2 linked regions of the Tamandua tetradactyla genome follow. The protein of the gene in region 1 interacts with the protein of each later gene in a pairwise test. Links are inferred from orthologs where the notes say so. Each region holds a gene or a part of one and is shown in the gene's direction. Other genes may lie near its edges.

What was found.
Region 2: the proteins of RTN4 (region 1) and SNX15 interact in binary tests that used the Homo sapiens proteins (3 or more experiments, as listed by UniProt). The two-hybrid records come from large-scale screens. The link is inferred for Tamandua tetradactyla from reciprocal best matches to the Homo sapiens genes RTN4 and SNX15.

What each region holds. Positions count from the first base shown.
Region 1 is NC_135343.1:27,393,779-27,400,940, reverse strand, and holds the start of RTN4 (reticulon-4), read left to right. Parts: upstream 1-3,995; 5' UTR 3,996-4,280; coding exon 4,281-4,830; intron 4,831-7,162. UniProt on the Homo sapiens protein: Required to induce the formation and stabilization of endoplasmic reticulum (ER) tubules. They regulate membrane morphogenesis in the ER by promoting tubular ER production.
Region 2 is NC_135335.1:9,539,717-9,547,872, reverse strand, and holds the start of SNX15 (sorting nexin-15), read left to right. Parts: upstream 1-5,072; 5' UTR 5,073-5,207; coding exon 5,208-5,306; intron 5,307-5,750; exon of another isoform or gene 5,751-5,939; coding exon of another isoform or gene 5,940-5,945; intron 5,946-8,156. UniProt on the Homo sapiens protein: May be involved in several stages of intracellular trafficking. Overexpression of SNX15 disrupts the normal trafficking of proteins from the plasma membrane to recycling endosomes or the TGN.

The sequences.
Region 1 (7,162 bases):
TTCGTAATATCTGGCTGAAGCTTGTATAACAGTAACCTCCAGAATGACCTCTCGAATCTATTTGAAATCTCTCGGCCACTAAAACTTTAATTATTAATTGTATGCTGTATGGGGGGGGGTCACATTTAGTTATTTTTCCATGTGAGTATCCCACTACAACTTCACTTTTTTCCATTTCTTATCACCCCAAAAGGTAGTAGTTTAGAACAATGATTCATTGTTTTTCATGATAGTGTGGGTTGGCTGCAGAGTCTGAGATGGCCTCACTCATATTTCTGGGCCCTCAGCTAAATGGTTAGAATAGCAGCCTTGCCTCTCCACATGGTCTCTCATCTTCTAGGTGAAAAAGCTATGGTTCGGGCGGGCCGCGGTGGCTCAGCGGGCAAAGTGCTTGCCTGCTATGCCGGAGGACCTCGGTTCGATTCCCGGCCCCAGCCCATGTAACAAAAACGGAGAAACAGAATACAATAAAACAAGAAAAAATGTTTCCCTTTCTTCCTTCCTTCCTTCCTTCTATCCTTCCTTCCTTCTCTCTGTCTTTAAAGATGTTTCCCTTTCTTCCTTCCTTCCTTCCTTCTCTCTGTCTTTCCTTTAAAAAAAAAAAAAAAAAAAAAAAAAAAAAAAAAAGCTATGGTTCACAGTTGTCGAAACAGGTTTGCTGGCATTCAAGTCCCATCTTTCTTCTATGATTGCTGCATTCACTCTGAAGTTCATACCCCACATGTAAAGATGAGATACATCCATTCTATGCCTTTTAACTCATGTAGAGGGGTATACATGATATAAGAACAATTAATCTGTTCTATGTATACCAGATTAGGTATCAATTCAACATTTTCTGTGAAGTAAAATATTTTAGAAATGGAATGAATGGGCTATTTCTCTAGGTAGTGAGTCTCCCTTTACTGAAAATGTTCAAGCATCTTTGTGTCTGTTTTCTTCAGTGGTGTATCCCCAGAGCTTCGAACAGTGCCTGACACATAATAAACACCCAATAACTATCTTGTCTGAATGAATCAAGCATAAATGAAGCCCAAAATGGATGTTTCAAGTACCTTTTGATGTATAAGTAACCACCCCAAAAGGTAGTAGTTTAAAACAATGATTCATTGTTTTTCATGATAGTGTGGGTTGGCTGCAGAGTCTGAGATGGCCTCATTCATATTTCTGGGCCACCATCTAAATGGTTAGGATAGCAGGCCTGCCTCTCCACTGGTCTCTCATCTTCCAGAATATATAGCCCTGGCTCTTTCACAGGGCCTCAGCATTCCAAGAGGGCTAAAGAGGAAGCTGTGATACCTCTTTCTGTTAGACATGGAACTCACTCCCAGGGCATTTTATTTGTCAAGCAAGTCACAAAGCCAACTCAGAGGAGTAGGGAAATAGAAGACCCCTCTTGATGACAGTTGCTGCAAAGAGATTGCAGCCACTTTTAATCTACAGATGACCACCTTTTAAAAAACTCTGCAGGGAATTCTTGTAATGGGAGAGATTAGATAAACTGACTTCCCAGAGTCCTCCCATCTCTGAGATCTATGATTCTACCAGGCTGAATGGATCTTGTGCAGTGTTCTAAGACAGAACAGTTACTAACCAGTGGGTATTTGGAAAATTAAGCTACTCCTGGCAAAATGATTCCAAAGATAATTTGCTGAATAATTATTTTTAAACCACTAATATGATCTAGAATTTGTATTCTTTTCTTAACTATCCTAAACGCCCACTAGAACTTTCTTGTAACTAACTATACCTTTAATTTTGGTATAGCAGTCATATTCTCCTTTCTTTATGTTTTGTTAACCATTTTATGAACACTGGGTAAACTCCTGTTATTTAACCATCAAATGCTTAATATTTTAGAGGTCATTGAGATGAATAAGATAATTTTAGTCTTTCTTCTGCATCAGAAGAATGTTTATATTATTGTCCCAATATTCACTGCTATTAAAGTCATAAAGCTATCACATTTCTGTAATATATATTACATTCATACCTGCAAATTTTAATAAATTAAGAATATCCCTTTGAGACTGTTTTAGTAGGTACAGATATGGTACCGAGCTCATCTGAATGAAGATATATCATATAAGCAACTTACAGATGACATATGGAAATCCTTTGAAGTTTCCCATTAATGTGTTCCAGAACAAACATAGCAGGAAAAGCAGTATGGGAACGAATAAAATGCTAATAGCTTAATTTAGAAAAAGTTCATAGCATAAAAATAGTATGTTTTTGTATGTGTATACATTTAGTTGAAAATCATGTACATTTTAGATAATTTCTGACAAACACTTGAAACGTTAATATTTTAGAGTTGTATTTTAGTCATTATCACATGAGTCCGTTTTGTTTAAAATTTCTAATTTGGCATTCATTTACCAGCAAAATAAGCCTACTCTTCCTAGTCCCTTCAAAAAAGCAAAAACAAACAAGCTCAAAACAATTCACAATCAGCCTGTAGAAATAGATCCAGTTTATCTTTGTAGAACAATGTGCTAAGTCTTGCATGTGCCATTGATAATTAAATGACAAGGAAATCCTGTTCTACTTGTCCTTTTCAATACCCCAATTTAGCCTAGGATAAAATTAATTAGCTGGAGTTAAGAATTTGTTTAAATAACCAGTGATTGCCATTATTACTCTAGAGCTGTCCAAAAAAAAATGAGCCATGTGCATTTAAAATTTTCTAGTATCTGTATTAAAAAAGTAAAAAGAAACAAGTGAAATCGATATTTTACTTATCCCAATATATCAAAAATATCAGTTTCGACAGGTAACCTTACATAAATTTGTGAGACGTTTTCCATTCTTTTTGTTTGGTACTCATTCTTGGAATTTCAGTGTGCACATTACACTTACAACACATCTCAATTCTGACTAGCCACATTCCAAGTGCTCAATAGGTGCATGTAGCCAGCAACTGAATTTTGGACAGAGCTGCAACTACCTCACTGTAAGCAACTTGAAAGCAGGTGATCTTCCTCTCCACGGCCTAACAGAGTGGGCACCTCAGAAAGTTCAAAGGGCTCTCTAGATCTCTGGCTGATGACTCTTGTGTTCTGCAACTACTTTCTTTAAACTCTCCAGTTTTGGAAAAAGTGACCTGGGGGATCACGATCATTCCCGCTTAACAAACGAATGACTCTGGGGCTTTCTGACTCCCAGAAACGCCTGCATCATCTGAAATGTTGACTCATGAGCCTAAGGTGACTGAAAATGTAATGTGAACCAAATTTGCCTTCCGAGGCATTTTTCTGTGTCCACTTTCCTCCTCTCCTCTCTCTTAGGGTGACTCATCCTTCCATCATGTGAGAGTCAAGCAGCAGAGCCTAAAACCCTCTTGGAAGGACAGGAACGGCAATTTCAAATGGTGGTTCCCGGAGCTCCAGACCGTCCTCAGCTGTTGGCTTACCTCATGCCAACCTCTGCAGTTTAGACTGGGAGTGGTCTTAAAACTAAAAAAAAAAAAAAAAAAAAAAAAAAAAATTTAGGTGGCTTGGGAATTTGGGTTTAAAAAAGTATAATCTTTTATTTCAAAATCTTTAAAAATGTATATTTAAATTATGAGGGCCTACTTCACCATCCCGTTAGTTAATACCCCATTCTGGGTTTTTCTTTCCTGGCAGGAAAGTTTCCACTTCCCCCTCCCCCTTTCCCCGATAACGCCCTTCCGGTGGCGCGCCAGGAACCTCTCCAACCCCTCCGGGTCCGCAGCCCTTTCCCCTTCGCTCTACTCTAACGACAAACAAGACCTCGAACTGCCCTGCAAGGCCAAGACCCCACCCGGACCCACAATAACCCAAGGTGAGGGGCGAGGCTCACAGTCCCAAATCCCGCCCACCGAACCCAACCCCAGCCGGTAAGGGCAAGGAAGCGCAACAAGCCCCGCCTCCTCCCAGCACTTTCCCTTTCCGTTGGCCCGGCTGGTTGCCATCTTCTCCATCCCGGAGCCGATTGGCTCCCTTCCTCCCGCGCCAGACCCTGCTTCTCCCCTCCAGGGAGGTGAGTCACGCCAAACTGGGCGGAGAGTCTGCTGGCCTCTCTCCTTCGTTCATCTGGGCGGCGGCGGCTGCGAGAGGGGACGGGGTGGGTGGCGCATCACGGGCGCGGAGGCAGGAGGAGCAGTCTCATTGTTCCGGGAGCCGTCGCCACTGCAGGTCCCTCGGCTCGGCCGGCCCAGCCCCTCAGTCCTTCCCAACCCCCACAACCGCCCGCAGCTGTGAAAGAGAAGCGGCCCGCGCCGCGGCAGCTGCAGCAGCATCCCCGGTCCGCCAGCCATGGAAGACCTGGACCAGTCGCCTTTGGTCTCCTCGTCCGCGGACAGCCCGCCGCGGCCTCAGCCCCAGTTCAAGTACCAGTTCGTGACGGAGCCCGAGGACGAGGAGGAAGAGGAGGAGGAGGAAGAAGAGGACGAGGACGAGGACCTCGAGGAGCTGGAGGTGCTGGAGAGGAAGCCCGCCGCCACGCTGTCTGCAGCTCCAGCGCCCGCAGCTCCCGCTCCCCTGCTTGACATCGGAAATGACTTCGTGCCCCCGGCGCCCCGGGGACCCCTACCGGCAGCGCCCCTCGCCGCCCCGGAGCGGCAGCCGTCCTGGGACCCGAGCCCCGCGCGGTCCACAGTGCCCGCGCCGTCCCCGCCCACCGCTGCCGCAGCTTCGCCCTCCAAGCTGCCCGAGGACGACGAGCCCCCCGCCCGGCCTCCCCCTCCTCCCCCAACCGCCCTGAGCCCCGAGGCCGAGCCCGCGTGGACCCCTCCCGCCGTGGCCCCCGCCGCGCCCCCCTCCACGCCGGCCGCGCCCAAGCGCAGGAGCTCCTCGGGCTCCGTGGGTGAGTGCCGCGCCCTCCAGCCTCGCGCCCCTCCCTCTTTTGTGTGCCGCTCCTCTGAGCCCTGAGGGGGCTTTGTCTGCCGAGGTCTGGGTGAAGGCGCCCTCTCTCCCCCGGGAGGCGCGGGAAGAAGGGTGGGATGGCGGAGGAAGCCCGGGCTTGTTCTATTTGGTTTGTCTTGGTTTCGGGGAACCACGTGCACCCCGCGGGCTCCCGATGTTCTTCCCTCTGGTCCCCATTTCACTGCATCCCGGGGCTTGGGCCCCCACCCATCGTTGGAGCTGGGTGTGTGTCGAGCAACAAGGGTTGTGAGTTCGTTGGGCTGGCTTGGTTTCAGGGTAAGGTTGGGCAGGCCTTGGCGCCCCAAGCTTCTGGGAGGGGCTCTTGTCCACCCGTCTGGGTTGCTCCTCTAGGAAAAGGTGCAGCTTTCGCTGCCTGTCTATTGTAGTTCAGCCCTGGACCCCTCCCTACCCCTTCCCGGCGTGGGTGGCCCCCTTACGCTTTACCCCTCCCCCTCTTGCGCTTGTGGGGAGCTGGCCCACTGGAAAACGTCCACATTGACCCAGCCGCAGTGAAGGGAGAGCGCCTCCAGTGGTGTGGCGTGTGGAGAATGGGAAAGGAGAGAGAATTCTGGCTGAGTCCTGCCACCGCCCACCCCAGGTTGTGGTGTGGCGACTCCCCACAAAGCCAAACCAAAAACCAAGCCAGGGAAAGGGGATCTGAGCATTGGGTTCTATGGAGGCACAGTTCTGACAAGGTCTCAACTGCAGGGTTACAGGAATTAACTGTTACTGTGGACGGGTTCAACTTCTCGATGCACCTGAACTGAATCTTGGCGAAAAAAAGGAAAGGCAAAATGGTTGACATTCTTAAGAAAGAGGAAACCTGTGGATTCCTTGCTGGGAATCAGCCCGTTGACCTTGTGGCAGATTTACCGTGAGACCTAATGAAATGTATTGAGACCGACATTTTCATAAGTTGGTTAGAAATACTATTTCTTAGAAGTTAAATGTTTTAGGCTGACAAACACAAATCTAGGGTTTGAAAAAATGGTTTTCAAATCTTTAATTCGCATGACTAGCTGATTTTATGTTATTTTTATTTGGGGGAACATTGTTTTATTACATTCTTCATCTTAGAAAATTAGTGTGAAAGGAAAAAATTAAGTTTGTTAGTGATAGAGAAATTGATTAGATGCATTCATGAGTAACTTTTTGCTTTGGGGGATAGATTGCACTAGCAGTAGGACCTTTCTTTATAGATCAGGGATCAGGTAGCCTGTTGAGAAATGTCCATAGCCTTCTAGAATTTTAGGGGTGGTTCATTTTCTTGAAAAAGAAAATCAGTCAGATCACACAGTAGTTTTTTTTTTTTTCCTTCATTTCACTCCTGTTCCACAAAGCGGAAATAAACCGATTGTGATGATGCTTTTGAATAACGTAACAACATTTTGATATTGACAATAGCCCAAAGCACTACTCAAAACATTCATCAGTACACTAAAGGTCTTAGAAGATGAGTAACTCAACCATTCTTTTTTCTGTATGACAAAGATATCTATGAGGGAAAGTAAGGTGAAGTAGAAAAATATAAAATTATAAGAAATTTGCGGAAAGGAAACTTAAAAGCATGTTAACTTGTTATTTTGGATTCCTGCTTGGGAACTAAGAATTCTGTTCTTTGAATAGTGGGAATATAGGAGGTGACAGCATTCTCTTGGAATCTTGACTGTTGGAATCCTAAATTTAGAAGATAGAGGAGAGAATATTGCCTGTTCAGGAACTCTGTTTCTACATAGTTCCTAATTCTTTATCGATGATATTTCTTTGGAAACTTTTTGTTCCTTTAGTAAATGCAGGAACATTACAATTTTGGTCATGGATAATTAAACCCATTTCTTTGAGTCCAGATTTCTTAACAGTTTGTGGGTTCATTCAGCAAATTATTGATTACTTCCTAAGAAAGAAACACTGTTCTAGGTTCTTGAGGTTGGCAATAAACTTTAGACACTTGCACTCCCATATTGGGTTACAGATAATAAGCATACAAATAAGAAACTCAGAATAGTGTTAAGTGCTATGAAAAAAGTAATCAGGGTGATGGAGCATCATGTAGATGTGTGGGAGCTTTTTTAGGTAGGCTGACATTGAGAAAAGCCTTTTTGAGGAGTGAACTTGAGCTGTGGAGATCAAAAATGTTCCAAGCATCTCCTGGGGCAAAGGCCTTTAAGTAGAAATGAGCTGTTTGCACATTTGAGATTCTGTAAGAACGCTATTGAGAAAAGCTAGAGAGAAGGTGGTATTGTAAGGGAAGGGTAAAGAAGAGGTAGGCTTTA
Region 2 (8,156 bases), on another chromosome or scaffold:
TACATATATATTCAGTAATTCCAATATCATCACATAGTTGCATATTCATCATTTCTTAGAACATTTGCATCAATTCAGAAAAAGAAATAAAAAGACAACAGAAAAAAAATAAAACAATAACAGAAAAAAAAGATTATACATACCATACCCCTTACCCCTCACTTTCATTTATCACTAGCATTTCAAACTAAATTTATTTTAACATTTGTTCCCCCTATTATTTATTTTTATTCCATGTGTTGTACTTGTTTCTTGACAAGGTAGATAAAAGAGGCATCAGACACAAGGTTTTCACAATCACACAGTCACATTGTGACAGTTACATCATTATTCACTCATCCAGAGAAACATGGCTACTGGAATACAGCTCTACACTTTCAGGTAGTTCCCTCCAGCCTCTCCATTACATCTTGTATAACAAAGTGATATCTACTTAATGTGTAAGAAGAACCTCCAGGACAACCTCTTGACTCTGTTTGGAATCTCTCAGCCATTGACACTTTGTCTTATTTCACTCGTCCCCCTTTTGGTGGAGAAGGTTTTCTCAATCCCTTGATGCTAAATCTCCGCTCATTCTAGGGTTTTTCTCAATCCCTTGATGCTGAGTCTCAGCTCATTCTAGGATTTCTGTCCCACATTGCCAGGAAGGTCCACACCCTTGGGAGTCATGTCCCACGTAGACAGGGGGAGGGTGGTGAGTTTGCTTGTTGTGTTGGCTGGAGAGAGAGGCCACATCTGAGCAACAAAAGAGGCTCTCTTAGGGGTGACTCTTAGGCCTAAATTTTAAGTAGACTTGACCTATCCTTTGTGGGGTTAAGTTTCATATGAACGAACCCCAAGACTGGGGGCTCAGCCTATAGCTTTGGTTGTCCACACTGCTTGTGAGAATATCAAGAATTCAACTTGGGGAAGTTGAATTTCTCCTCGTTCTCACCATTCCCCGAAGGGGGCTTTGCAAATACTTTTCCACTCACTGATCAAATCACTCTGGGATTCATCGGGGCATCACTCTGGACAAACCAACAAAATCTCATGTCCTACCTGAGATTCCAAGTTCTTATGGTGTTCAATCAAACTATCTACATAAGTTATATTAGGAAATGCACTAGTCAAAATATAAATTTTGTAACAAACATTTTTTGCTTTAGTCTCACACATACGGTGACCTTTTAAAATATTAATTACCATCTATTTTCAGTACCCTGCAATAATAACATTCCTTTGTTCTTCCTCTTGCAAAAACATTTTTAAAATATGTGCATTTAGTCAGTATTATTATACACTCTAGGCATTCCTAGATTATACCATTCAATCCAGCTCCAATTACCCAATATCTTACCCTATTTCTATCTCCTGATGGTCTCTGGTACCAACAAAATATTCCAAATTTATTCACTAATGTTAGTTCCTATCAGTGAGACCATACAGTATTTGTCCTTTAGTTTTCGGCTAGTCTCACTCAGCATAATGTTCTCAAGGTCCATCCATATTGTTACATACTTCATAAGTTTATTCTGTCTTAAAGCTGCATAATATTCCATCGTATATATATACCACAGTTTGTTTAGCCACTCGTCTGTTGATGGACATTTTGGCTGTTTCCATCTCTTTGCAATTGTAAATAACGCTGCTATAAACATTGGTGTGCAAATGTCCGTTTGTGTCTTTGCCCTTAAGTCCTTTGAGTAGATACCTAGCAATGGTATTGCTGGGTCATATGGCAATTCTATATTCAGCTTTTTGAGGAACCGCCAAACTGCCTTCCACAGTGGTTGCACCATTTGACATTCCCACCAACAGTGGATAAGTGTGCCTCTTTCTCCACATCCTCTCCAGCATTTGTCATTTTCTGTTTTGTTGATAATGGCCATTCTGGTGGGTGTGGGATGAGATCTCATTGTGGTTTTGATTTGCATTTCTCTAATGGCCAGGGACATTGAGCATCTCTTCATGTGCCTTTTGGCCATTTGTATTTCCTCTTCTGAGAAGTGTCTGTTCAAGTCTTTTTCCCATTTTGTAATTGGATTTGCTGTCTTTTTGTTGTTGAGTTGAACAATCTCTTTATAAATTCTGGATACTAGATCTTTATCTGATATGTCATTTCCAAATATTGTCTCCCATTGTGTAGGTTACAACAGGTCACTTTAAAGGATAGTTTTTCAGGGTAGCTAAAATGAGCAATGATAAAGTTCTGCACATATAACTGAAATGTCTGATATCAAACTGGAGCCAGTACCTTTATTTCTAGAGTTTACACACCCATATCTAACAAATAATTATACATTAGGATTGGGAGGAAAATCAAATATTATTTCACAATTGCCACTATGTGTTTCTTTGACACAATTGGCACAGACCCAGGCTTGCTATATTTGTGACGATTCACTGCCTTTCCTCCAGGAGCTTCTTTCACAATCTGGCTGGAGTTAGATTTTGGTAGCTGTCGGTGACGAGCTATATGTCTTATCTGAGAATGACGTTGAAATTTCTCCTTCAATTTCTGATTATAATCCTTGGCTGCTTTTTCTCGTGATATCAGCACACCCAACTTTGCAGACGCTTTCCACGGAGGAATGTTCATTTCTTCAGGTGCACACATAATGTACTTGCTGTCGGAAGTTCATTTTATGCAGATAACATGCTGCATTCGCTTTGTGCGATAAACTTCCCCACCTCGAATAGATTTATCAAAGCGAGCAGACACAAACTCTTTCCCAGTAGAAGAATGTGCTGGTTTGAAAGGCTTATGTACCCTAGAAAAGCCTTGCCCAATCTTATGGAGGCAGCTCTCTTTTAAGCCCTATTCAGCACTGTTAGTTGGAAACGTGATTACATTATCTCCACGGAGATGTGATTCAACCAATTGTGGGTGTTAACCTTTGATGAGAAGGAGATGTGACTCCACCCATTCCAGGTGGGGCTCGATTCGTTTATGGAATCCTTTAAAAGAGGAAACACTTTGGAAAAAAAGCTTCAGAGCCATGAGAACCACGAGAGCCCACACAGCCAAAGACCTTTGGAGATGAAGAGGGAAAATGCCCCTGGGGGAGCTTCATGAAACAAGAAGCCTGGAAAGAAAGCTCGTAGACGTTGCCATGTTGGCCATGTGCCTTTCCAGTTAAAGAGAAACCCTGAACGTCATCAGCCTTTCTTGAGTGAAGGTAACCTCTTGTTAATTTGGACATTTCTTGCTTTAACTGGGACATTTTCACAGCCTTAGAACATGTACACTTGCAACTTAATAAATTCCCCCTTTTAGAAGCAGTTCCATTTCTGGTATATTGCGTTCCAGCAGCTAGCAAACTAGAACTGAGAGTAATCCACATCAAGCACTGCAAATATCTGGTCCTTATGTACCATTACAGGCATGTCAAGTGCCTGCATATCGAAAGTATATAAATTGTAATCTTCATTAGCTGCAGTAAAAATGAAAGCCTCCATAGGGTTCCAACAGATTGTACTTGTTTTCATATCTCAGACAACCTTTTTCAGAAGAGTGGCTTGCCTCATATAGTCCTATATTTCTGCCAGAAGCACAACTTCCCAAGAGAAATGTCTCAACTGGGTTAAATTTAAGACTACTTATACTGTCACATCCCCAGACCATTGGATATATAGGATTGGTTCTTTGTTCATCCCAAATGTCCACTGGGTTTCATCATGCGGCAAAACCAGCTTCTTTCCAGTGATGATCAATTCCGGTATACATTATCTTTTCTAACACTGTATTCAGTAGCTCCTCCTCTTCTCCACAGCCCATGCCATCCACTTGCCAGTGCATCACAGTTTTGTCATCACCAATAGCGAAAAAAGAAATCCCACAAAAGCGAGCACATATTCCTCGTACGAAACCTTCGTGCACTTGTACTATACAGATACATTTTCGTTGAGCCAAGTTCCAAATTCTAACCTCTCCATCACATGCCCCAGAAACAGCCAGACTCTTTGGATGCTTTGCCAAACAACCGATTCCATCTCAGTGACCATCCAGGCAGGCAAGAAATGTTTCTGCAAATACCCATTCTAGTTTGGTAGCATTTAAAACTCTTCCATATTCTCGTGGAACCTCAAAAGGGTATAAGGCAGGATCACAGTTTCTCAGGACTCTCTTTAAGTCCAACTTTGTCTCATGGACGGAAGTAGTTGTCCAGGTTGCAGCTCAGCATCTACACCTTGATTTTTGCGGCTTGTTCTCACCCTGGAAGCTTTCTGCCTGAGTTCTGTGTTTCTTTCTGGAGGCTGCTTTCCAGCAGCAAGGAGAGCAGCTCTTCTTTGAGGGTGTCACCCAACTATGGCATTTAAACCTCACTGGGTGGGTAGGGACATCTAATCGGGGTCCTTGAAAGCCAGACACAGACGCAGATTCCAGCACCCTTTTGCAGGAAGGAGCTCCCAGTGCGGGTCAGGAGCCCAGGCAAGGGAAGCAGAGTGTTCCAGAGGCTGTGCAGCCAGGTCCACAGCTGGAACTTCTCCAGAAACCAGTGATCCCCTTGCCAGGGTGCTGTGCTCTGACTCACAAAATTCAAACCTCAGGACACGGGGTGACCACAGCCATGCCCCCCAGGACAGGTAGCAAGTGCTGTCTGGGGCAAGATAAGGTGCTGGCATCTTTGGGTTCTGGGGGAGGAGGCTGGAGGCCTATGTATCTTACACAAAGATTGGGTGTCATGGTACTAACCAAAGGAGGTGGGGGTGAATGGTGGGCAAGCCAACAAAGAAGGTTCTATTGTGAACGTATTCTCTTTGCTTCCCCCACCTTGCAGAGAAGGTGGATTAGCGAATTTTGTAGAGGGAAGCAGAAGAATAATTTGGTTATGTTTGGCACAATCTAGACACAGTGAAAGTGAACCGATGAAGGAAGGGAACTGGGAAGCGGAGAAGCCATTTAGGGGTGGGTGATGAGGGTTCACGCCCCCTAGGAGGGGCTCGATCACTAAGCAGAGAGCGCGGATCAGAGAACCTCCCCAATCCTTATTGTCAAATTACGCAAGTTTACGCTCCTTCAATGACCGATAACTTTTCAGACGCTCCCTTGGCCGCGCGCCCGGTACCGGAGCAGAACTGTCACTTGCGACCAGCTCCCTAGGCCCGAGGCTGAAGGGCGCAGGCCCGGGAGAGGCGGCGGCGGGCAGAGACCGCCCCGGAGGGGAGGGGGCGCCGTAGAGGAGGCGGAGGTCGGCGGTGAACTCCGCTCCAGCTCGGCTGCCATGTCCCGCCAGGCGAAGGACGACTTCCTGCGGCACTACTCAGTCTCCGACCCCCGGACCCACCCCAAAGGCTACACCGAGTACAAAGTGACCGCGCAGGTGAGGTGGGGCCCAGCGGGGAGCTTTACCACTTTAACAAGAGTGGGCCCGTGTTTTACCTTAAGGCGTGGAGCTGCAGACGGCTCCCTTTTCAGACGACTGAAGTGTATTTCCCCTTTAAGGAGGGTTTGCGGCAAGAGCCATCCTTTACTTTTTTAACCACGGGGTGGGGGGTGGTGTAGGAGGCGGGGACCTGGGAGGGCGCTGCCCTTTTTAAAAGGGCGTGGCCCGCAGTTCCCAGTCCGGCGAGGTGTGGGTGGCCACGCCCAACGCGTGGTGTACGGGTGTCGGGCTGGGAATTTATCTGAATTAACATGAAAACTCTGTCTTAACGCAAAGATTAGCTAGTTCTCCGATCTCTTAGAATAGGTTTTCATTTGTATTTATTTATTTATTTATTTTACTTAAAAGCCTTTTAAAGAGTTTAACTCTTTTTATTAATAAGCCTTGTTTGTGGTTTAACAAAACTCATACAGTTAAAAGGGATTTAAGGAATAAGTCTTTCTTCAACGGTCATAGCAGGAAGTCAGTAAAGACCGAAGTTCATTATTCGAAGCAAGAATATTATAAGCATGTAGAGAGACGGTAGAAGAAAACATGAAGGAAACAGTATAACAGAATATTTCTAAAAGGATGCAGGTAACAATTGAGACCTTTTAGGAGAAGAAGGAGGTTGATAGTAGTTAGGAGATTTTTCACTGTATATATTTTTGTACCTTTAGAATTTTGAACTGGGTGATTATTAAACTGGTGCATTCGTTAATTAACTGTTAAAGTGGAGTAAAACCATAAAGACACGACCAAAGCAATCCAAAGGCAGAATCTTCCTCCTTGTTTATTTTTGCTGTTCCCATATCTTATAATCTTGTCCATGCTTTAAAAAATGCAAGTGGTCATTCTAGGTAGTCATTTTAGGTAGATACTTAGAAGAATGGATTGGGGGTTGGGAAGGTTGTGTCATGGACTGTCACTTTTTTTTGTCTTTTTGTTGGACTTTCAGAGCAAGTAACATACAACTTTGATTTTTTTCCTACTTAATATGAACCTTCTTCATATGAACCTTTGCAGCTAGTTTCTTGCTGGTGTACCTCAATGAAATTATTATTGTGTTTCGATTTTTAAATTTTTAAAATTGAGACATAATTTACGTAAACGAATATGCCCAGATCTTAAGTGTACAGCTCGATACATTTTTACGTATGTCTGCATCAGTGCAAAAACCATCACCCCATTAAAATCCTGTACCCTTCTCTCATCAGCAGCCCCCCTCCCCAAGAGGTAACCCCTGTGGTTCTGACTTCTGTTACCATAGATTACTTTTGCGAGTTCTTGAACCTCAGATGAATGTGACTCAATTAACAAGTCGTCTTTTGTGCCTGACTTTCTCACTCTATTGATGTTTTTGGAATTTGTCCATATTATTGCATGTTTTAAGAAGTTTTTGTTTTTGTTAAATGGCTGCTTAGTGGTCTTTTCGTATGAATATACCATGTTTTTCTTTTCTTTTTTTTCTGCTGTTGAACATTTAGTTTCTAAAAATGTTTTAGGTATTATGAATAAAGTTGAGTACAGATCTTTTGGGGGACATATACACTCATTTGCCCTTGTAGATGCTTAGGAGTGGAATTGCTGGGTCGTAGGCCAGACATACGTGTAGCTTTCTTAGAAACCACCAGTTTTCCAAAGTAGTTGTACCATTTTATACTCAGTATCTTTAAATTCAAGCTATTCCTGAGTAATATCTCATTGGAGTATTAATTTGAGCATATCTCTGATGAATAATGAGTGTATTTTCACAATCTTATTGGCTATTCAAATATTGTATTTTGTGGATGGTGCCTGTTCAGGTATTTTGTTCACTTTTAAAAAGTTGACTTTTTGTTTTTGTCTTTTAAATATTGATTTGTAGGACTTCTTTATATATTCTGGATATGAGTCCTTTGAAAGGTATATATTCTTTAATGGTTTTTAAATATAGTTACTTTAACCCAAAATAGTTTAGGTGAGTCTCTATCATCAAAGACAAAGGCCAGGTTTTTTATTTATTTATTTATTTAAAAAATTAAGAACAAACAAACAAAAACATCATTAACATATCATTCCGTTCTCCATATGTAATCAGTAATTCTCAATATCATCACATAGTTGCATATTCATCATTTCTTAGAACATTTGCATCAGTTCAGAGAAAGAAAAAGACAACAGAAAAAGAAATAAAACGATAACAGAGAAAAAAAAAGATTGTACATACCATATCCCTTACCCCTCGCTTTCATTTATCACTAGCATTTCAAACTAAATTTATTTTAACATTTGTTCCCCCTATTATTTATTTTTATTCCATATGTTCTACTCATCTGTTGACAAGGTAGATAAAAGGAGCATCAGACACAAGGTTTTCACAATCACACAATCATATTGTGAAAGCTATATCATTATTCAGTCATCATCAAGAAACATGGCTACTGGAACACAGCTCCACATTTTCAGGCAGTTCCCTCTAGCCTCTCCATTACATCTTGAATAACAAGATGATACCTACTTGATGCACAAGAATAATCTCCAGGATAACCTCTCGACTCTGTTTGGAATCTCTCAGCCATGGACACTTTGCCTCATTTCACTCTTCCCCCTTTTGGTCGAGAAGGTTTTCTCAATCCCTTGATGCTGGGTCTCAGCTCATTCTGGGATTTCTGTCCCACGTTGCCAGGAAGGCCCATACCACTGGGAGTCATGTCCCACGTAGACAGGGGGAGGGTGGTGAGTTTGCTTGTTGTGTTGGCTGGAGAGAGAGGCCACATCTGAGCAACAAAAGAGACTCTCTTGGGGGTGACTCTTAGGCCTAATTTT